Linked DNA regions of Lepisosteus oculatus. The protein of the gene in region 1 purifies or fractionates together with the protein of each later gene. This does not show direct contact. Links are inferred from orthologs where the notes say so. Each region holds a gene or a part of one and is shown on either strand. Other genes may lie near its edges. The genes, in order: rack1, larp4ab and riok3.

The links.
Region 2: the proteins of rack1 (region 1) and larp4ab purify together in Homo sapiens (affinity purification with mass spectrometry; 3 studies listed by BioGRID and IntAct, counting the BioPlex papers as one, with this or other methods). This does not show direct contact. The link is inferred for Lepisosteus oculatus from reciprocal best matches to the Homo sapiens genes RACK1 and LARP4.
Region 3: the proteins of rack1 (region 1) and riok3 purify together in Homo sapiens (affinity purification with mass spectrometry; 3 studies listed by BioGRID and IntAct, counting the BioPlex papers as one, with this or other methods). This does not show direct contact. The link is inferred for Lepisosteus oculatus from reciprocal best matches to the Homo sapiens genes RACK1 and RIOK3.

The regions. Positions count from the first base shown.
Region 1 is NC_090706.1:29,977,869-29,985,383, forward strand, and holds the start of rack1 (small ribosomal subunit protein RACK1), read left to right. Parts: upstream 1-4,469; 5' UTR 4,470-4,578; coding exon 4,579-4,687; intron 4,688-5,610; coding exon 5,611-5,782; intron 5,783-6,478; coding exon 6,479-6,626; intron 6,627-7,240; coding exon 7,241-7,336; intron 7,337-7,515. UniProt on the Homo sapiens protein: Scaffolding protein involved in the recruitment, assembly and/or regulation of a variety of signaling molecules. Interacts with a wide variety of proteins and plays a role in many cellular processes.
Region 2 is NC_090696.1:20,590,417-20,597,787, reverse strand, and holds the start of larp4ab (la-related protein 4), read left to right. Parts: upstream 1-4,339; 5' UTR 4,340-4,691; coding exon 4,692-4,808; intron 4,809-7,371. Other genes in the region: pfdn5 (prefoldin subunit 5), read left to right, coding at 768-847. UniProt on the Homo sapiens protein: RNA binding protein that binds to the poly-A tract of mRNA molecules. Associates with the 40S ribosomal subunit and with polysomes. Plays a role in the regulation of mRNA translation.
Region 3 is NC_090701.1:57,816,143-57,823,879, forward strand, and holds the start of riok3 (serine/threonine-protein kinase RIO3), read left to right. Parts: upstream 1-4,708; 5' UTR 4,709-5,052; coding exon 5,053-5,112; intron 5,113-6,081; exon of another isoform or gene 6,082-6,140; intron 6,141-7,391; coding exon 7,392-7,507; intron 7,508-7,737. Other genes in the region: UDP-N-acetylglucosamine transporter TMEM241 homolog, read right to left, coding at 81-149; leucine-rich repeat-containing protein 15-like, read right to left, coding at 1,025-2,254.

The DNA.
Region 1 (7,515 bases):
GCCTCTCAGCACCAGGCCCTGGGTTTGATTCTGGACCAGCAATCCTTTTGTGTGGAGTTTGCATGTTCCACATGTGATCCTGAGGGTTTTCTCCCATCTGCCACAGACACGTTTCACGTTGTTTAGAGAGCACGATCTCTGGCTAATGTAGGGATTTATGAATATCTAAAGACCGTGTGTTCAATTCATATCATATGTGGGAGGACACAAGTGCAATGAAATACAAATACAAACACAAAACAGCAGCAGCAAAAACAAAGTTAAATAACATACAACTTAAATACAAATCAGCACATCAGCACAAGCCGTGTGCAAAAATAACACCAGTGTGAGTCAGAGGTAGAGGCAGAATTTAGCGATCTGACAGCTAGTGGGGGCTACAAACAGCGCCACCCGGTGTTCACACTTTGTACACACAGGTGCCAGGTTGCAGATTTCTTCCTGCAGAGCCGGAGCTCAGACCCTCAGCACAGAGGCAGTGAGGACTGCAGGCCCGTCCTCAGCTGTCAAGAGGTAGAAAACGAGTTTCCTGGGCTGGGCTCTCCAGGTGAAGAACAGCATCGTCTCACCAGGAGCTTCTGGGAGAGCAATACTGCCTCTCTCCAGCCCTGCCCTTGCCGACCCAGTGAATCTGTGAACCTGATAGGCCACAGTCCCAGAACCCTGGGTCACTGGAGTCTCCACACTGTCTCCGTCCTCTCCCAGTGACCCAGCAACACCAGTGTCCAACACACTCCAGGAACTGGGAGCACTGGAGTCTCCACACTGTCTCCGTCCTCTCCCAGTGACCCAGCAACACCAGTGTCCAACACACTGCAGGAACTGGGAGCACTGGAGTCTCCACACTGTCTCTATCCTCTCACAGTGACCCAGCAACACCAGTGTCCAACACACTGCAGGAACTGGGAGCACTGGAGTCTCCACACTGTCTCTATCCTCTCACAGTGACCCAGCAACAACAGTGTCCAACACACTCCAGGAACTGGGAGCACTGGAGTCTCCACACTGTCTCTATCCTCTCACAGTGACCCAGCAACACCAGTGTCCAACACACTGCAGGAACTGGGAGCACTGGAGTCTCCACACTGTCTCCGTCCTCTCCCAGTGACCCAGCAACACCAGTGTCCAACACACTGCAGGAACTGGGAGCACTGGAGTCTCCACACTGTCTCTATCCTCTCACAGTGACCCAGCAACACCAGTGTCCAACACACTGCAGGAACTGGGAGCACTGGAGTCTCCACACTGTCTCCGTCCTCTCCCAGTGACCCAGCAACACCAGTGTCCAACACACTGCAGGAACTGGGAGCACTGGAGTCTCCACACTGTCTCCGTCCTCTCCCAGTGACCCAGCAACACCAGTGTCCAACACACTGCAGGAACTGGGAGCACTGGAGTCTCCACACTGTCTCCGTCCTCTCCCAGTGACCGCTCCTAAAGGTAAAAATGCAGTTTAAAGCTCCTTAGAGGGTACAGAGATGGTCATGGTTTGCATAACATACAAATAGGATCCGTTTGTGGTCAAAGCTATAGGCTTGTGCTGAGATGGGAACGAGCAGGTTACCGAGCGGTAAAATCTGGAAGATAGGTAGAAAAAGTGCTGTTGTGTTACCTGATTATTTCAATTTTCCTCTTGTACACTGGAGGATTGTGGTGCAGAATCAAGAAGCTGAAATGATCATGGTTTGAGTAGTCAATAATAGCTTCTTAAGACGTGACTCTCAGACGTGACTTACTTTGTCTATCTTTTCAAAACAGCTAGGATGTAATGAAGAGAACAGAATTAACAGGACCCCCCAGAAAAGTCTGATCCCAATATGGTAACTTTTCATAGAGTTTTTTTTTTTTTAAATGTCAAAATCTGGAGTCTAAAAGGCATGTATGGAGAGTGTATAACTCTGCAGAAAGAAATTGAACCCAGGGCCCCAGCCCTAAAACACGGTAATGCTAATCTGTAAACACGGTGCTACATGTCTTCTTACACGTGCTTATTTAAGGATATACAAGACATTTCAGACTAAACGGTTATTAAATAAGAAGGAAGAGAACTCTTTATAGATAGTGTAAAAGGAGCTACAAGAGAATAAAGATAATGAACATGCTGAGATACAGATGCCACAAATCTATGCAGAGGGTTGGTTTGTGGAGCGGAAAACAGGAAGCAGGAAGCTGTCTCAGCGGGCGAAACCTTCATCGAGACAGATGGTGTACCGCTGTCGCTCCTGGATTAGAGCAACACTTCAGACTGCGGTTTAGTTAGTAAAGAAGTAAAACAAGCCCTGGTCCGAGTGTGTGTGTGCGCCCTGTGATAAACTGGCGTCCTGGCCAGTCGGTACCCCATATTCTGTCCGTTGCTTGCTGGGATAGGCTCCGGTTCCCCCGTGACCCTGAACTGGATGGATAGTAAACTAGCTCAGTTTACAATTAAATCTGAAACTATGGGACGTAGAAACGCTGATGTGAAAATGAGACAGAAATCATTTATTTTGCAGAATTAAAGCACATTAAATTTAACATGTATAATTGCAAAACGAGTCATGCGTTAAGTAGAAACGTGCTCTGTACGTGTTACTATACCTATACACTGGTGGTGGTGGAGGGGAGTCCCTATTACCTGTAAAGCGCTTTGAGTGGAGTATCCAGAAAAGCGCTACATAAGTGTAAGCAATTATTATTATTATTATTATTATTATTATTATTATTATAATACCACATTCTCTAGCCATCACATGGGTTAGTCTGAGCCCTAGTGGGATACGCGTTACAGGGTTTTATATATTCGTCTATGTGCAAAAGCGAGCACCATGCTTATGTAGAAAAAGGCTTGTATTTAAAACAGATGGGAGTTATGTTCCGACTTTGCAACTCTCCAGCAGTAGTTTTCTTATTTAAAAAATGTCGTGTTCAATGTAATAATCCGAACGAGGTCCAAACAACGGAGCGAGGGCAGGGACGATAAAGGGGTATTTAATACAGACCCCAGACACAGCTTTAGCCTTTCGGGCAGAGTTCGTGCCACAGCTGGGTTTCCGTAGTGTAGTGGTTATCACGTTCGCCTCACACGCGAAAGGTCCCCGGTTCGAAACCGGGCGGGAACAGCTGCTTTTATTTTATTACCCCTATGGAATGTGAAGTAACTCTTCCTATTAAACAAGAAATACATTAATCGTGCGTGTGAAATATGAATTTGATCCGGCATCATAATTTCCGGTGTGACATAGATTTTCGGGGGAGAATAGAAGGCAACATTTGAACATCTCATCGGAAATTAACTATAAAACCAGTAGCACAAAGTGTTGGAGGGAGAGTCGAGGAGGTTTCCGTAGTGTAGTGGTTATCACGTTCGCCTAACACGCGAAAGGTCCTCGGTTCGAAACCGGGCGGAAACACTTTTTTTGTTTGTTTTGCTGAGAAGCCTTGTAGAAGGCGCTTTTAAAATTGAATTTGAACCGTATTTCGAAGCTCAGTTCGAGCTCCAGTACCTTGAATAGCAGCGAAATGTGCTCGGTAGAGTATGTTGCTCCGTTGTCAAATATATACATTTCAAATATAGGCCTGTTTTGTTTTTAATGTTTTTTTAATAGTACCGTTATAAAATGTTCTCGTTTCCCCAGAAGTATAATTGTTAAGTACCGTTGCTGAAGTGTAATGCTGTTATATACCACTTAGACGCGTCACAGCTGTGTCAATTGCATTGAATTGTACTTCACAACTTTTACGTTTTAGAAGATTGAGGATAATTCTGTAATTTATATATTTCCAAAAAGATTGAGTTTTTTTCGTTTTTTAAAGTGCCATGATAAGAAAATGGTTCAGTGTCCCGTGTTTGAAGAGGTTAAATCTGAGAACATTCATAAATATGCCTTTGAGAAAGATTTAAAAATATACTGTAATTGTTTTTTCGGAATTGTATGATAAAAAAATTCCATATATATATCAAACGTTATCACATAAAGATATTAATTGTATTAATAGTGTGATCTACTACTGATATCGAATACAACAGCACTAAGTTTCCGTAGTGTAGTGGTTATCACGTTCGCCTCACACGCGAAAGGTCCCCGGTTCGAAACCGGGCGGGAACAATTTTTTTTTTTTTAGAGAAAAATATCAAACACTCAATTAAATAATTTTCTAATTTAGTTAGAATTTAGCATTGTAATGTCCAATTTTAGGAGTTTGAAATGTTTTTAATTAAAAAAATAAAACCCACTACCTCTGCTGCACTGACTTAAATACTGACTGTTTATGTTTGAAGAGAACTACAAAACATCTTAAGATCTTTAAACGGGAAGGGTGAAACCAACACAAAAACATTTACAGCTCAAATTATTCCTAACTCGCCACAGGCGAGGACGACTGCAAGGGAAACAATCTCAGCGCCGGGCCCTGCTCCAGCTGCCCGGCAGCTCTGTATCCAGAATGCACCGCGGACCCTCGCCTGCTCTTTTTTAGTTCTGCTTCCGGGTCGAGTCTTCCTCTTTCCTGTGCCTGTAAGCGAGAGGAGCAGGGCGGCGGTAGCCTCCGATCTCAATCTGAGTCCATCCTCCCTGAAAGGCACCGTGTATCTTCGCCAAAATGACCGAGCAGATGACTGTAAGGGGGACCCTGAAGGGTCATAATGGTTGGGTCACCCAGATTGCCACTACCCCGCAGTTTCCCGATATGATTCTGTCTGCTTCCAGAGGTAACCCGGCCGCCGCCATCATTGCCTTGGCTATTCCGGTGGTCTACGTGGTAGCGTGATTTACAGCATAAAACGTGTTATAATGCGTGAACATGAGAGTAGATTGAGGAAAGTGCTTAAATTATTTTCACGTGCCGTTTAGTAAATACAAGATCGTTTTTTTAAAGCAATGCAACATTAAAACGTGACGCCTGGACCCGAGAGAAGGTACGAGTGTCAGAGGGGGCAGACACGTGTGTTTCAGAAAGTCGTGAGGCACAGGCTGGGATCTTTTGTTTCTGCTGATGAAGGACAGAGTTGTGCAAGCGGTTCACTTCGCGCTTGTAGGCCGGCTGCGCTGTAGGGCAGCATCTCGCAGATCTTGGCGTTGGACCGAAAGGCCGCCGTGGCGCCGGGCGCGTTTCCCGGTCTGGTCAGTGGCGCTGAGGCGCTTTTTGTCCGGCTCGACGTGTGAAGTGCGTCAGACGAGTGGTCGGTAGCGGAGCCGTGTAGTTCTCGGTAGACAGTAACGTGCTTCCTTAGCGAGATGATCGCTGGGCTGTTGATGTTCTGCTAGGCCGGGAGGAAAAAGAAGTTGGGAGGCGCAATTTAAGCTTGGATCTGATTTGAAGCGGGATATGCGTTGCTTAGAGTTGGGTTCGGTCCTTAGAAATAACACTTTCTGTTAAGGCACTGGTGTTCATTTTGAAGAAATGTTAGTTCAGCGTGTGGACAACACTCAGTGCAGTTTGTACACTGCTGGGCATCCGTTCCACATGTCCTGCTTCTGCAGAGGCGCATGATGGGAGGTGAAGCTTGAGCAGTAGTCAGTAGTAGATGAGGGATGAAAAGATTAATTTTAAACCAGTGCAGTGCCTAGTGGGCAACAGGGCCTTCTCTCTTCCCTCCCCTGAGTACCTGTTTGATTGTGCTTGGGCCTCCAGACAAGTCCATCATCATGTGGAAGCTCACCCGCGATGAGACCAACTACGGCATCCCCCAGAGAGCCCTGCGTGGCCACTCGCACTTCGTCAGCGACGTGGTCATCTCCTCCGACGGCCAGTTCGCTCTGTCGGGATCCTGGGACGGCACCCTGCGCCTCTGGGACCTGACAACGTGAGTGAGCGCGGACGCAGAGAGGGCTAGGTTGGTGGGGTGGCTCTTTCACGCCCTTCCCTGCAATTATCTCCACACGCTCAATGACTGGCTGTGTTTGTCCCCATTAAGCCAGTGGTCCCTAGTCCTAGTGACCCACACACCTGTGGGTTTCCATCCTATCCCGCCTTCATTAGTTAATTCATTCCTTACACTTATATAGCGCTTTTCCTGGCAGACACTCCAGTCAAAGTGCTTTACAGATAATGGAGAATCCCACGGCTGCCACCAATGTGTACCTGAATGATGCAGCGCCAGTACTCTTGCTACACACCAGCTCTCAGTGGGGAGGAGAGCAGAGTGAAGCCAGTTCAAAGATGGGGATTTTTAGGAAGACATGAATTGTAAAGGCTAAGGGGGAGGGTGGCCAGGGCACTAGATAATTTAAGCCTTAATTGACCTAAGAAGTTCCTTTGTTTGAATATTTGCATTTTGTTTTTCCATCATGAGTTTGGGACTTTATTTCACTTGCGAAATAATAACGGTTAAAGCTCCAACACGTTTAAGACCTGGGAATAAACGGTTCAAATTAATCTTATTATAAAGTCAACAAAGGGTTTGATTGTGTCACTGGCTGGAATGGAAACCAGCATATATTGCACATCAGCTGTAAACAGGAAAACCGTCTGTAAACTGAGAATTTGCGTGTGTCTGCAGAGGCACGACTACCCGTCGCTTCGTGGGGCACACCAAGGACGTCCTGAGTGTGGCCTTCTCCGCCGACAACCGGCAGATCGTGTCCGGGTCGCGCGACAAGACCATCAAGCTGTGGAACACCCTGGGAGTCTGCAAGTACACCATCCAGGTCAGGAGGCTCGACGTGACCCGCTGGAGCGCTCTCACTCGGCCAGCATGTGCGCTCGCCTTCGCCACCTGCCCCGTCACTGTGTGCAGGGAGGCGAAAGCGCAGGGAGTTTCCACACGTGTCCCAGTGATTACACATCTCACGGTCCTATCGTCCGAGCCTTGTGGCCGTGACGACAAGTCCTGCAATTATGACGGGACGTTGTGGAAATCGGAAACGGGCTTCAGGCTTTAGCGTTTCTCAACTCGAAAGCTGCTCTGCATTGTTTTGTGGGGACTGTTCCTATAAAATGGCGAGGCCTTGATGTTTGTTAGCCTTAACGCAGTGGAATTCACAGTCGTGAAGGAGAAGTTCAAGTGGGTAGCTGTGTCCGCGTGCGTAGGCTGCAGAAGAACAAGTAAAGGTTTATTCCAGGCTGAAAAAGAAAAGGGACTTGACGTTTCGACTGTGGCGCCTTCTGCAGGTCAGAGGGCTCCACGGCGGAAGTGTTGTCCATTTTCTTTTCAGCCTGGGATAAAGCTTGACTTGCTCCAATGAAGGCGGAGGGCAGCAGAAGAGCAGTAGTGGGTATTGAGGTTGACTGACCCCTTGCATTTTGATGCTCTGTGTTGTAGGATGAAAGCCACACTGAATGGGTCTCCTGCGTGCGCTTCTCCCCTAACAGCAGTAACCCCATCATCGTCTCCTGTGGCTGGGACAAGATGGTCAAGGTACTCGTCGACCAGCTGGAAACAGCCTTCTAGACTAGGACCCTACATCTGATCCGGGGAAACTGCAGGCTATTGGAGTGATTGCAGTCTATAGGCGACACGTCTACCGTGTTGGATGGCTAATGGCTCTTCAAGGGAACTTGTCCCAAACTCCCATAGTCCTCTATGCAAAATGTGCC
Region 2 (7,371 bases), on another chromosome or scaffold:
AGACTAAAGCTAATATTTCGTCACCCCATTTCGGCAGATGAATATCTGTTTACCTATGGTGTATTTTGTACACAGAAAGACAGTATTTATAGTACAAAGCTCTGAGGTTTACCTTGTTTAGTTTACTTGGTCCACTTTGAATCAGTCCTGTTCAACATGAATGAAAGCATTGCATTCCCCGTACTGTCATTTTTGTTCTGGGACAGACAAGATAAAATGTATTTAGTGGTAAAGTTTTGAATAAACAGAGCGGTGTTGTCCTTAGTGTTCTTCGCCCGCTTTGAGTTGCGCTTGCTCGGCATGAATGAACACGATGTGTCACTACTTTTGTGCAGGGAGAAACAGGATGCCATTCAATTTCATCAAACTGCGAGTGGAAAGCGAAACATTCTTTAAAAAAATTCTCTGGCGACGTGCACTTAGCCACTGGAAAAGAAGCAGCAACAAGAGAAAGCATTTTGACAGTCAGCCGTGTGACCAGCGAGTGACATCTTGCAAGGGTGTCCTATTACCCTTTCTATAATGGTGCCCCTCGAATCTTTGCTGCACTACGTCACAGAACTGCGGACTTAAACGAAGGGCTTAGGACTTAGTGCGGCATCTGGACAGAACTTGAATGACATTGGCCATTGAAAAGAGATTTTACCCTAACAGAATATTTTCTCAGGGGTCGGAGGATTTGAAGTGCATACCCATCTTTTCTCTCTGACTCGCCCTCTATCCCTCTGACTGATTCACATTCTCCTTCTCTCTCCTTCCTCCTCCAGCTGTGATCGAGGTGATGAGCGTGAAGATCCAGCAGCTCCAGACCCTCCAGGCCTCGCAGTCCGGCACCACCAAGGCCTGAGCAGACTGGGGGTGGTGGTGTGAGGGTGCAGGGGCGGGGCGAGGAGGAGAAGGGGGGGGGGGGAGGAAGTCATGAGGGCAAAGCGGAGCCTGAGCTATGGGGGGTAAGAATGATATCCAGCGAGGGAAGGGGGGGAGCTTGATTTGGGTACCCCACCTTTGTCCCAGGACACGGCGGGGATGGGAGAGAGGGGAGGGCCAGGCCCAACGCCTGTGATAACACTGGAAGATGCCAACGCAGCATTGGTCCCTGGAGATCTCGAACCTCGAGCCGCGATGCAGGATGTGGGCTGGGCATCTGGACGCTCTCCTGCACAGTGGCCATCAAGAGCGACAAGTGGTGGGATTTCTGCTTCAGAAAGATAACCAGCTGTCAGACCATTCACTCTTGCGTTCCTTCTTAATGAGTGAATGTTTTACATCTGTCAACAATTGTTATGACGTTCTCCTGGTTTCAGATGTTGTTTTAGTTTGGGTATATTTTCTTACAGGTCCCCAACAGAGAGGCGCAGTTTTATACTGTTTGCCTTTGTGAAGTCAAGCTAACTTTAAATTAATTGCTTTCTTGTCTGTGGATTTATGTAAAGCAAGTTTTTTTTTATTGTCTTCTATGCTGCTGCCCCTTGAAACAATAAAGAAGGCTCTGATAATACCTTTGCAATATTATTTTATCTCATCCATCCATTTTCTAACCACTTCCGGTTCAGGGTCATTGGGGAGCAGAGGCCTGTCTTGGCAAGCAAATGGTGCAAGGCAGGACACGCTCTGGAAGAGACACCAGTCCATCTGAGGGCACACACAGACACACACACCAGGGCCAGTTTCCCACAAGCCTAACAGTATGTCTTTGGACTGTGGGAAGAAACCCATGCAAACATTGGGATACATGTAAACTCCTCACAGATAGCACTCCAGGTCCAGAATTGAACCCAAAGCCTAGCACTGCAAGGCAGTAATGCTAACCACTGCACCATCGTGCTGCCCTTGTTCTATCTCATTCTTCTCTTATTGTCTATCCAACTTAAATCCATCTCAACAGCCAAAGCCTGGAAAGATGCTGTTATGGGATCTTAATGACGCAATTAAGAACACAGAGTGACACGAGCATGCAGGTCTTCATTCCCTTGTGTGTCTATTTTCTGAGGATAAAGAACAATCCTTTTATTAAATTATTACTTTTCTATCTTGCAGCTAATACTGAAATAAAGCCTCAATGAGCTCTGTGTCTATGGGAATGTTTTCTCCCATGATTCCGTAACTGCACTTGTGCTAGATTTTATTCCACATCCTCTCCAGTGGGATGACACAGGTGTTTGAATGGGCCAGCTAACCTTGTGCATGTACATGTTCCAGTAAGACCGTGCTGGCATGTTGTATTTATCCTGGGGCTCCCCAGTCCCTGGCCTGATACCCCACTCTCTGCTGGGTTTCATTCCAGTCAGGCTCTCAGTTGTTTAATACTTCTTTCACTGAGAGATTGACTTCTGCTTCTACAGAGCACTTTTTAAAGTTCTTTTCAACTCTAGGTAAAATTAAAAGCTCTGGCAGTTACTGAGTTGAGAACATGTCTAGTAAATTGCTCATCCAGTCCTGTGATAAGTGAAGACCTTAAAACAAGCAGAAGGTGGGGTCAGCAGGACCTGGATTATGGAGTCCTGCTCTTAATGTCCATCTAATGATTTCCTGAAATCCCTTCGTGTTTGAGTAAATATGTGGAATCACTGGTTCAGTGTTTAGGCATTTTCTAAGATGTTTGATTTCCAATTCTTGGCGCAACACCTGGAACAGTTTAGATTTGTGGCTGGGGCTCTGGATAAACTGTGAGGTTATGGGTTTTAGTCCTCTCTCTGGATACCACTATTTTACCCTTCATCAAGCCCCGATCCTGGGAGATCACTGTCTCCTCTGGCCGAGTGCTTAATTTCAGTTTTCTATTTAAAATGTGCTTTCAGCTCTTAATAATTTGGAGCGGTATCTGTAAGTGGTATTGGTCCTGTACCTCTTCAGGTGGCTGGACTGGAACCATCTGGACCTCTGCTGGCTAAGGGTGTGTGAGCTGCAGGAGCCTTCTTTGGGTGTAAGAAAGATAGGGCAGTCAGCAAAGATAATATAGCATGAGAAAACAAAAGCCAGGAGAGAGGAGGAAGTGGGAAGTTGTATCTTGTAGTTGTATTACTTTTCCGTGGGAAGGTGGAGCAATGATTAGCATTGTTGCCTCACACAGCTGGGGCCCTGGGTTCAATCCTCAGTTTGTATGTTCTCTCAGGTTTCCTCTGGATGGTGGAAATGGCTGGTAGTCAGTCATGACTTACATGAACTGTTGAATCTCTAGATTTCATGAAAATAACAGCATGACTCTCAAGGTTGTCATGTTTCCCCACAGTGAATGCCTAGACAAAAAATATTTACAACACCTTTCTTCCCTCGTGTCTTGCGGGTAGGGGCTCCCCTCATACTTTTATCCCTGAGGACAGGGGGGTTGTGGGAATGTGAGCCCAGAATCACAACTAAAAAATTGGCCTATTTGTATGATACTCAGCTGGCAGCCTTGCTGTACATATTTAGATAAAGCGTAGTGACTCCCTGGCTTGAGCAGTGTTTGGGAAAGTGCTGGGGAAAGTAATCCAGCCCTCATTTTCTAGCCATGTCATCCAGTTTAGGGTCGGGGGGGGGGGGGAGCCGGAGCCTATACCAGCAAGCAATGGTTGCAAGGCAGGGTATACCCTGGACAGGACGCCACACAGACACACCAGGGCCAGTTTTCCCAGAAGCCAATTAGCCTACTAGCATGTCTTTGGACTGTGGGAGGAAACCAGAGCACCTGGAGTTCTCTTTAAATCACCAACTTCTCAATAACAAGAACATTCTTCAACTTGTCCAATTAATCGATTAATAAGTTAAATTTAATAATTAAGGACTTGGGTGGCAGGGCAACCAGACCCTCCAGTCCTCTGGGACTGGAACTATGCTCTCCTGGTTTAAGGATTATATAACAGTAGTTTTGTTTAAAGTACTTTATCATTAATTTTTACTGCAACTTTCACTTTCCTATTTTATTGTGAAGGCCAGGAAAAAGTGGTCAGTTTTGGAATTAAATTTGATGTGAGCGTAACAGTGATGTTCAGTCCTGGTTCTAGAGGGCTGTAGTCCATGAGGTTTAATGAGAAACGTACAGCTTACTCAATGAGTAAAAACCTGGAAACAGGCTTGATACAGACTAGTTAAGGGAACAAATTATTAAAATCCAGTCATTAAGAGTCAGGGAAGAAAAAAACCCGGGAGAAATGGCGGACCTGCAGAAGAAGAAGCGAAAATCAGTGATCTTATGTTTGGCTTATGTCAGCGCTCCTCTGTTGCCATGCGCTGTTGCTATGCGGAAAGGAGTTGAGATGGTTGCTATGCGGCGCAATGAATGTTGCGCCGTTGCTAGGAGCTGCGATGGGGAAGGGAAAGGGAGGGAAGAGAGGGTGAGAGGTCGCGCTGCTTGCCGGGACGTTGGCGGTGTGCTGTCAGACAGTGGCGCTCCGGAGAGGTGCGTGTCCCCAGTGCCCGCTTCGGTTGTCCGGCTAGGAATGCGCTCTCCGGCTCGCTGATCGCTAGTAAATTAAAAAGATACTCATCGCAAAGCTACAGATTATCGTAAAAGCATCTTAGCTGGTTGCGGTATCTATTTTGTCTTATTTTTTTAATCGTAAAGCGAAAGGGGTTGTACAAAACGCATCGCTGATCTAGAAAGAGAAAGCGCTTGTTGCTTTTTCATCACCCGGTGAGAGGTGAGGAGGAGGAGGAGAGAGGGGGGAGAAGGAGAGAGAGCGGCGGGGTTAGCGGAGCGCCAGGAGCGGCCCATGAGTTCGGAGCAGGGCGGAGACCCGCAGAAGCAGCAGGAGGCCGAGCCGGGACCGGAGACCCGCCGAGGGGAGAGCGAGAGCAGACCCGAGGCCGGCGGAGACGGAGGCGGCATGGTGAGTTTGGGGCCTGTGGCTGGCTGACTTAGCACAACCTCCACCCCCCCCCCTCCTCCTCCTCCTCCTCCTCCTCCATGCCACAGCTCCGTAAAACCCGGTGTGATCCGCGATTTTTCAGAACCGCAGTTTCTAAAGATAGAAGCCAATTAACTGTGTTAGTAGCAAATACTGTTTTTCTAGTTCGGTTTTTCCCTTATCCGGCAGAGCGAGGCTTTATTTCCATTGTCCTTGTTCTTGATGTCTTTGACTTATGTTCGGCAATGAATTCCGGTCTTTTGAATGATGTGCTGCAGTTGCGTGTAGATCTGATCCGAGATAGGGCATGATGGTGTCGTTTATTTACAATCGTCGATCAGACAGGAGAATTTATAGATGTGTTGCGTATATTTATATAAAAAAAAGCCCCAGTCGAAGGGGCTTCTGCAATATTTAACCCCCTGCGCATGTGAATGGATGACACCGGCAGTGTCGAGTGACAGCATGCTTGCTAGCCGACTAGCTTCCCAACTATTTTAGGTATTTACTTTAAGGATATTGCTGCTCTGACACAACTCTCGTTATTTTCCTCGTGGTTTGCAGTGAACATACTATCCTTTTGGTGTTGTTTTCAGTTCTTAGGTTTTAAAAATAAAGCTTCTCGTCCGTCCCGGCGGTGTCCATATGGCGCCGCAGGCGGGGCCTAGCTGGCTCGGAGGACGCCTCGGCCCATCTTAGCCCTCGCACACGCCGCATTCGTCCGCCTCGCTCCCAATGAGACAACATAGGAAAACACCCTCCCGCGCTGCCCACACGCGTGGAACGGAGGCCAAAATGCCTGCATGTGAAGACCTGAGGGGACTCAAACGGTCGTTTTGTCGAATTTTGCTTCTGTTAACTCGAGCGAAGGAGCCATATGTGTGCGGGGACGGCGTGATTGCAGACCGGGGCAGGGGGAGGAGGAGTGGGGTGTTGTGGGGGGTGATAAAATTAGTTCCTCTGGCAGCGTTGCCGGGCTGTCTGAGTCGCTCAGGAGTGTGCCGATAAAAGCGACAGGGCAGCTGTGGCACAGCTCGTGAGAGGGACAGTTCTGGCATTAGATAAGCCACCTCCCCATTCATTAGGGTCAAACACGTCTAAGGACTAACCTGACCTGCGTCAGGCCTGCCCCTTGCCTAGGCCTCTGTCTGTAGGTCAAAATAATCAGGCTGTGCTTTTAAAAGGGGAAGTTCTCTTTTCTTAAACGACTGTAATTTACCGAAATTTACAAACATGCATGAGGTATTTGAATTATTACTGAATACTGACAGCATTTCCGTAGGTGGAATCCTCCATTTAAAGAAATAACGTGCTGACTGAACAGTCCTGTTTGCCAGCTGTGAAGTGACTCAGTGCCAGGGAACCCGTGGAAGGATGGGCCTGTAGAGCAGGTTTAGGTGTGAGTGGTGATCACTGGGGCAGTTGATGGTAAAAGGCTCCTACAGCAGGCAGACTGTCACTAGCACAAGGGTCTCAGACTCCGTTCCTGCTGTGCTTCGTCTCCTGGTTTTTGTTCCAACCTGACTAGTCAATTCAACAATTAAATAATTATTTTCCAAATGAGATAGAAGTTTTCTTAAGGGCTCTTACATTCGATTACTCTCGCTCGTCTTCCGTCTACTGTCCCTCCTCTCATCTGTAGTGGTTTAAAATGACCAGGTGCAGTTTGACTAAACCATCGAGTCTGGTCAGCGATATTGTGTTCGATGCAGTAATATTCCCGTCTGCTGCTGTACTTTGCCAGTGCAGCAGGTTATATAGCTCATCGTTAATTGATCAGTCTGTAAAGACAAGGAACAGTTAGTATTGTTATCCGTTCAATGGGCGATTTGTTCAATGAAGTATTGAAGATAACTTGAAATACAAATCTGAATACGCCTCAATCTTGGATGATGGGCTCTCTTGAATACATTGCTTGGCGTAATTGCTAAGTAACTTCCAAGCACTTCTTATTTTTTAAAAACACAGGTGATTTGGGGTGACCTTTAAGACTAACTGGACTGCTGCATGTCCAAGAGAAGTGGTGGGGACCCCTGGCTGTACGTCAGCCAGTTCTTACCAGTTAGAAGTTGTCGGAAACTCGGAGAGCAACTATTTAAAAGCAGAGTGAAACAGGTATTGTATCTGGTACATGTGTTTGAAGTAATGTGCACAAGGAAGAAGACTTCTGAAGCAAACATCAAAGTGCAGAACACAGTTAGAATCATGTAAATGGACTTGAGTAAGCCTTTCTGCTCTCCCACTTTGAAGATTCCCGACTCCGTGTTCTAATGCAGACTGAAGACACACTAGTCCTTTCCCAGTCAGTGTTCTTACTTTGCTCCCCTATTCCTGGCAGTTCTGGGGTCTCTGCTTCTCACACATCTCTCTCCATTTATATCTATGCTCTTTAAGCCTTCCAGTGTGCGCTTGTCTGAGTGTACCCAGTTACGGAATTGCATTTAAATGGTTTCTTGTCATTGTTTTTTTGAGGATTCTGTAAATAAAACAGGGCTTCTGACTGGGCTTTCATGAAACTTGAGAGAAAGACAGGCCCATCTTTACA
Region 3 (7,737 bases), on another chromosome or scaffold:
AACGCTTCAGCGGGTATGACAGGTCTTTTAAATTATTTCAAGACGGAAGCAATAGGTAAAACAAAACAATAGTCTCTCACCTTGTTTGTGAAGCACGACACCAAGTAGAAAAGGCAAAAGCTAAGACCGAGTGCAATGCTCTTCCACATTTGCCAAGATAAAACTATTGCTTCAGTCCAGCGATGTCTGTCATCCTGTTTCTACCAAATCTTTTTCGCCTGAGTACCTCGCAGCCATGTCTGACACGTTGCTCAGAGATTGCTCCAATCCAACACCAGCTACTCCTGAAGGAACTGACCCCTTAAAGAGACAGGCACCCCTCTCACACGGAGCACCAAAATGCTGTAACACATACAATCAAAGTCAATCAAAGTTTATTTATCAAATGCACAACAATACAACTTGCAGCAGTAGTTGCTGGCAATGAATTGTCTTTACAGCAGGTAAAGACATACAGCAGGTTAATTGGGCTCACACAACTATTGAAATACTAGAAAGCACAGTACGACATGATAGGGTTGATTAAATGATAAAATTGAATTTGAATTCCAAATTAAAATCTAAGCTTAATTGAGTGTTGAAGAAAAGTGATTGGACATTTTCTGTTTTCCAAGACCACATAGGTGAAGAGTTTGTATTGTATCTGATATCTCTGTCACTTAGCTGAACCCACAGCTAAAAGGAAGAAAATTATGTTGAAGAAAATCATCATTTCACAAATATGACACATTATAAATTTTTACCATGGATGATGTGTAGCCGTGTGAATAGCAGAAAATCTGCATTGGCTTTCATAGATTTAACCTAAAGCATTGCGTGCTCAGTTCTAAAATGATTTGTTAAGAATTAAGAAGTCCTTTATACAAACAGAAAAGTACTGGTGCAATTAAGGCATTTTTCTGACTCAAGGGGAATTGTCAAAAAAAGTTTCCCAAGAATACAGACAAAGCCCCAGTGACAAATCTGACAACAAGGCTTCGTCAGATTCATCACCCCCACATCATTTTACATTGAGTAGCCTTTGTCAGATGCATGTCACAGGAGGAACTATAGATAACTTTGAGGAGACAGTGGAACACACTGGGTTGTTGGTCATCAGCACTTTCTTTAAATTGAGATTACTCTTGAGAAGATCAAAGTCCATTTCTGCTATGAAATTGCTTGACAGATCCAAGAGTTCTAAATCCTCCATGTGACTTATAAAGACCTCAGCTGGCCAGAGGTGTATTTTACAGCAGCAAATCTTTAACTCCTGCACGTTCTGCAGCCCCAGAAGCATGGGCATCTTCGAGAAGTCATTTCTGTCCAAATACAAGTATTCCAGTGCAGTGTTATTCTGAAAAACATCTCTCGGCAGCCAAAATATAGAGTTGCCTGACAGGTCTAGCACTGTGAGTTGGTATAAACCTGTCAAGAATCCATCCGGAAGCTTCGATAAAGAATTATTGGACAGAGTGAGCTTTGTGAGATGAGACAGATTAATGAAGGGAAATGGTGGCAATGATGAAATGCTATTCCCTGACAGATACAGAAACCTTAGGTTCCTTAAACCTCTTAGGGCTGGCAATACAGACTGAGTAAATCTATTGTTATTGAGGATCAGATCAGACAGGTTATGTTGGTGGTATAATAACCTAGTAGGTAAATGTGTCAGGGCATTATTGGACAAATCCAGTATCTGAAGTTTGGGTGTTGGATCAAATAATTGTGATGGTATAGTTGTTAATCTGTTACCAGATAGAATCAGTGTGTTTAAACGTGCAAGACCTTCAAATATATTGTTGTGTAGCAGCATGGAGTTGTCTGAAAGATCAAGGTAAGTGAGGCTTTGTAGTTTTGCAAAGGTTCCATCGGGGAGGGTCTTCAGCTGATTTTTTGCCAGGTTTATCCAGACCATTTTAAACGGTGCTTGAAGAAAACCAATGGGTATCGACTGGAGGTCATTTTCAGACACATCTAAGGAGAGGAGGTTGATGAGACTCTCCAAAGTATCATTCTCAGGGCAGATCTTATTCCTGGATAAGCCTAGAAAGGTCAGGGCTGTCAGGTTTCTGAAAGCCCCCTTCAGGATGCTGGTTAACTGATTGTCAGACAGGAACAGAGTCTCTGTTTGGGGTGCAATGTCCCAGGGAAGGTTCCTGAGGCCAGCTCTGCTGCAGTCGGTCACAGCGGGGGAACAGACGCAGCCCGCAGGGCACCCTTCTGCCGCCACTCCCATCCACAGCGAGATAAGGAGTAGAATCAGGGTGGCCATCTTCCTTCCACTCTGAAGAAGGAAAACCACAACAACAACAACAACAACAAAAAACAAACAGTTACCCACTGGTGCAAGCAAAACCAAAATAAAATCCCCTTTATTTAAATATAAATGATGTCTTCAACTCATTGAACTTCAACTTCAACTGCACCACATCCTTTAATATTCTGGGTAAAAAACTCTGATTACAGATGTAACGTATCAGTTCGTGAGCCTTTGAATTCTGCAGCAAGAGCAACTTCTCTTCCATCTAATTTCCCTATTCAGTCACATTCCTTAGGTCACATTCCTTAGGGCGGAGCGGTGGCTCTGTGGCTCAGGATCTGCGTCTGTGACCGGAAGGTTGCCGGTTCAAATCCCGCGGCCGGCAGAGGAATCCTACTCCGTTGGGCCCCTGAGCAAGGCCCTTAACCCCAACTGCTCCAGGGGCGCCGTACAATGGCTGACCCTGCGCTCTGACCCCAAGCTTCTCTCCCTGTCTCTGTGTCTGTGTCTCCCTGGAGAAAAAGCTGGGGTATGCGAAAAGACGCATTCCTAATGCAAGAAATTGTATAGGGCTAATAAAGAAACATTATTATCATTATCATTTATGTGGGCATTAGCATGTCCCCTATTAATGATCAAATTTGCAGAGAGAATATGCTGTAGATTACAGGCCAATCTCCATTACAGGACTTAAATGATAAAATTGAATACACCGCATACAGAAAATAAACTGGTAGAAAGCCCTGACTGGGATATAGTTCGGGGAGGTACTTTTTCTTCTTCTAAAAATGTAGGACACTAGCTGCTCTGTGCTGAAGTTGTACATGCGGTACTTGCAACACCAAACAGCTCAACGTGTAGATTGCTCATGGCCCTCTCTTCTTTAGGTGAACTCAGGGTGTGAGCACCTGTTCACATGTTGTGAAAACAGCGCTTTTAAGGGATATTTGACTGTATGAAAAAGTTCTGGTATTGGATCTTACTGGTATGTCCACACCTACAGTATGATCCCCTGACAACTCCTACTCACTGACATCTCCCAGACAGGTAAGATGTCTTTTGCTGGTGCATTGTTGCAGCCAAAAAAAAAAAATGTTTGGTTGGGAGAAGACTGGGATTCCATTAAAAATGGTCTCTGCCTGGACAAAAGCTTATCTTAAATGATAAATTCTGTTAAAATAGTATACTATCTCTTTACGTTTCTTTCGTTTCAGTTTGTATTTGTGTTGTACATTATGTTTTAGAAATATGATAAAAATGTATTTAAAACAGGTAACAAAATATATATTTTTTGTGTTTCTAAAAAACTATATAATCACTGCAATTAGAGCCAGACTGGAATGCTGTAAGCTTTAAGAGCAAAGTTAATGGGATCTATTATGATATCATAAAACATCTCATCATTAACAAGTGAACTGCTCTCAGGGGAACACTAGCTAAATGCAAACTGATGCAATCATAGGAACTGAAATACAAGATACACTGAGTAATGTACTCTCAGTAATACACTCTAGAAAACAGTTTTTTTATATTTTCAAAGTGTGCATCACATTAAATACACATATTCTGTATCTTCAGTAAAACAGGTAATTAAAGGTTGAAAAATAAGTAAATGTACCTCACCTAAAAGCAGTGAGAATTTTTTGAACAATCCCAAGCCAAATCATAGCCAATACAGCTGATAACTTAATAATCATACTAAATCGACCCCTCTAGAAGCGGACATTGCAATTTATTTACGCAGATATTAATAGCTGTTCGTTAGGACTGGAAGCTGCACTAAATAGCCATAGCTTATACTACACACTCCTTGAGCAGAATCAGTAGTGGTTGGGCCAGTCTGACAGTCTTAGTATTTAAGATACAGTATTTACGGCTACCCTGACACTTTTTACAGGAAGATGAAACTCAGAATACTCACATTTTAAACAGTTTTTAAACTTTCTTCCCTTGCCAAAAAGCTCTAAGGGACTGCCACATCAATACTGTCCCGTTTCAAATAAAGTAAACTGCATTCTTGGTAGGTCCAGAAGTCTGTTTGCCTGTGGCAATACACGGTTGCACAATCCTTTAAAAAATAAACAGAATAACAGACGTTCAGAAAACAGATCACACGCTGCTTAAGAAACTGAATTGGAAGCGGATAACTTGTGTCAAAACACTGTGGCCCTCGTATTTCAATTCTGATGGCAATACAGCGCACACATTTTAAATGTTTTAGATTTGATACTCAAATATCCTTCGCTTATTGGGCGTTTGTAAGAAATCACTAGCGAACCCCAGCTAAATCGTGAAGAGATGCACGATCAAGATGACTTCTTGCTCAAAGAAAAGGGTCGCCTACCTACACACTGCAAGTAGGAAGGCTTTAGGGAAAGTGTCTTTGTGAGAGGATAATAAAAAAACGAGCTGCGTCTTTAAGAGAGTGTCCCTGCAGTATCAGCTGGTGCCGAGCGCCTCTGCACAGGCGAGGCAGTTCAGCCATTTAGCTCCGCCGTATCGGTGGTACTCGAACACTTCTGCTTATTTGCCAATTTTGGCAGGTCATCTCTATTTTTATTATAATTTTCTACCACGTGTCGTGGTATATATTTTTGTACAGCGACCACCGTTTAGTCGAAGTCAAGAATTATATTTTTTATAATACCTTGTTTTTCTTTCTGGTGACGCGAACTCGGTTCACAGAGCTGCTGTTTGGTGTTCAACTTGCCCAGACTTGTCATTGACTCGTGTTTACTACAGTACTGGGCATATTTATTAACTATTTATTTATCCGAGAACAAACTGCGCACTTCGCTGGTTGGGGAAAAATGGATCAAATAGGAGTAGCTGCCAAAGAAAACGAGACTGATTCCGTGTGGAAACCCAAGGTCAGTATTTTTTAAAATTATTTTATTCAGCATACAAGTCTGAATTGCGGGGCCTAGCCTAGTGCAGAAGACGAGCCACTGACGTCAGCGCTGTTAGGAGTTTCACACTATACCGGCTTCTGTTAATATTCTTGCTTGACACTAAAATGTCATTAGAAAATGTTATCGATATATAATGATAAAAACTACTACAGAAATTATCCCTCCCGGAATATACATGTCCAGTCCTATATAAGAAACACACGCGAGATCTGGTCGTTAAAAACCGAACTCCGTTCAGCTTAATTCCTTCAAGGACCTGAGGCTTCATACAGATTTTTTTTATTTCTATTTTTCTATTTACAAATTGTGTCCCTAGTCGGGAAACATGAGAGAATCGGGAAAGCAGCGGAGTGGCCCAGCGACTAGTTTCGATGACGTCATAGTGGAGCAGGGTGATGTAATGTAAGCCCTTCAGAGCAGATCCGCTGTCTCTTCACTTAAATTCACAAAACTGCCTGCGAGTTATATTACTGGTGTAACCCTTGCAATGCCTTAAACTGTAAAACGCTGCTTGTGTAATGTTATAGACTTTCGTAAGTGTCCATATTGCTCAATACTTATTTTCCCCAGAAAAGATATCTTAACATGATTCTTTTATTTTAAAACGTAGCACCAACATTTGCACAAGAACGTTCAAACCTCAGTCTTCTTAATCATATTTCTGAGTAACTATTTCATTCGTAAAAGCTAAATACTTCTTATTGTATAAAATGCTTCTCTTTTTTTAAAACAAGCTATAAGGTGTAGAAAACCTGTGTACTTGGCTACTATTCTAATTGAGCGCCCCACTGTGTAAGGCAAGTCGTCTTATTTTTGTATCCTTATTAGCATTGGTGAATCGCCCCCTGTTTCTGCTGTGCATGCCTGTTTCTCATGCTGATAACACCATAATAGAACAGATCTCCAATGAAGTGCTGCTTCCCTAACCTTCCTCCAGATGGCGCTGTACCACTCAGCTGCCAGCCAGTGCAGTTTTGGGAAGGAAGAAGTAAGGACTTTCCAGAAAGCAAAATGTTCAGAATCAGATCTCGTGTATCAGGCTCCGAGTGTGCTTAAATACGACTTGATAAATCTACTTCAAAAATTTTCTGTAATGATTGATTAATTAATGAGCAAGAAGTTACCAAAAACTGTTCTGTGATGAAATTAGCGGTGAACTGTTGACTGAGGACCTTTGCCTTCGGGAATGACTCACCGGTCTCTTGCAGGAAAGTACACTGTCTCCACAGAGATAAAAGCCAGTAATGACAGTGTAATGAGCACAGGCCTTCTGTAACTCTATAGACTAATGTCCGAGACCGACACGTTTGCAAACAATAAGTCATACAGAATTTCCCTTCTGGGTGTAGCTGGCAGGGACATTGGTATATAAGTACCTGCATGAATAGTTTCTTGCTGCGCGACTATGAGTCATTACATAAACGTGATTCGAGTGGGATGTTTCGGATAGGAAAATTCTAAAATGGCAGCCTGGTATGAGATCTCCAATCCCTGTTTTTCATGATTATTATCCTAAAAAAATGTAGATACCGCCTTTTAAAGTACCTTCTCAAAGCGCTTTACAGTAAGAAAAAAAAGAACACTGATATGAGATAAAAAGTTAGTACATTTAAAAACAAGGGTTTTGAGTCTGGTTGAAGATGCAAAGGGACAGACGGGGGCAGACGCAGACATCAGTTGAGTAAAAAGCCTTTCCGGAGAAGGGTTGGGTCTGGATTTGACTCTCTGATATCCTGGGGGAGAGAGTCCCAGAGCTCTGGGGTGCAGCAGGAGAAGGCCCTGTCACCCATGGTGTGAAGATGAGCTTGGGGAACAGAGGGGAGACCAGAGTCGGACAAAGACTGTGAGGTGGGGAGTAGACAGATAATGAGTCAGACAGGTACTGAGGTGCCAAGCCATGCAGAGCATTATAGGTGAGCATGAGGACTTTAAAGTCGGCGCAGAACCTAACAGGAAGCCAGTGCGGGGACTCCAGGATAGGAGTAATGTGATCCCTTGCAGCGGAACTGGTCAGGCGTCTGGCTGCTGAATTGTGGGCATGCCGGAGATTGTTCAGACTGGGCTTGGGTACTCCAGCGAGTAGGGCACTGCGGTAATCAACGCAAGAGAAGACAAATACATTGACAAGCTTTTCAGCAACAGTCAAGAGACAACAAAATACGGAGCGTGCAGATATTTCCGAGATGGAAGAATGATGTTTTTACAGTTCCTCCATTTCATTCTTTTTCTCCCCTCAGAGCCCATGGGGAGCCCCTAACAGTGTGGTAAATCCCTGCTCCCTGGCTGATGTGATGAGCGAGCAGCTGGCGATACAGCTCAATGAGGAGTTCTCGACCTACCCCAGCTGCCCGGAGTGAGTCCACCGAACAAGATCGATCAGATTCCTTCTCATGTTCTGTTCTTCCTACTGAAAGGGAGGATTTCTTTTCTTCCCACTTGTGTTTTGAAGCCGTGAGCAATGTCATGCTAGGCAGGTGTAGTGGGATGGAAATGCGATTAAATAAGCAGCCTTAATTGGAGATCCTGCATCAGACAAGATAGTGGCCTGGACTGTATGTTCAAAAACTCTTTTAAAATCCACTT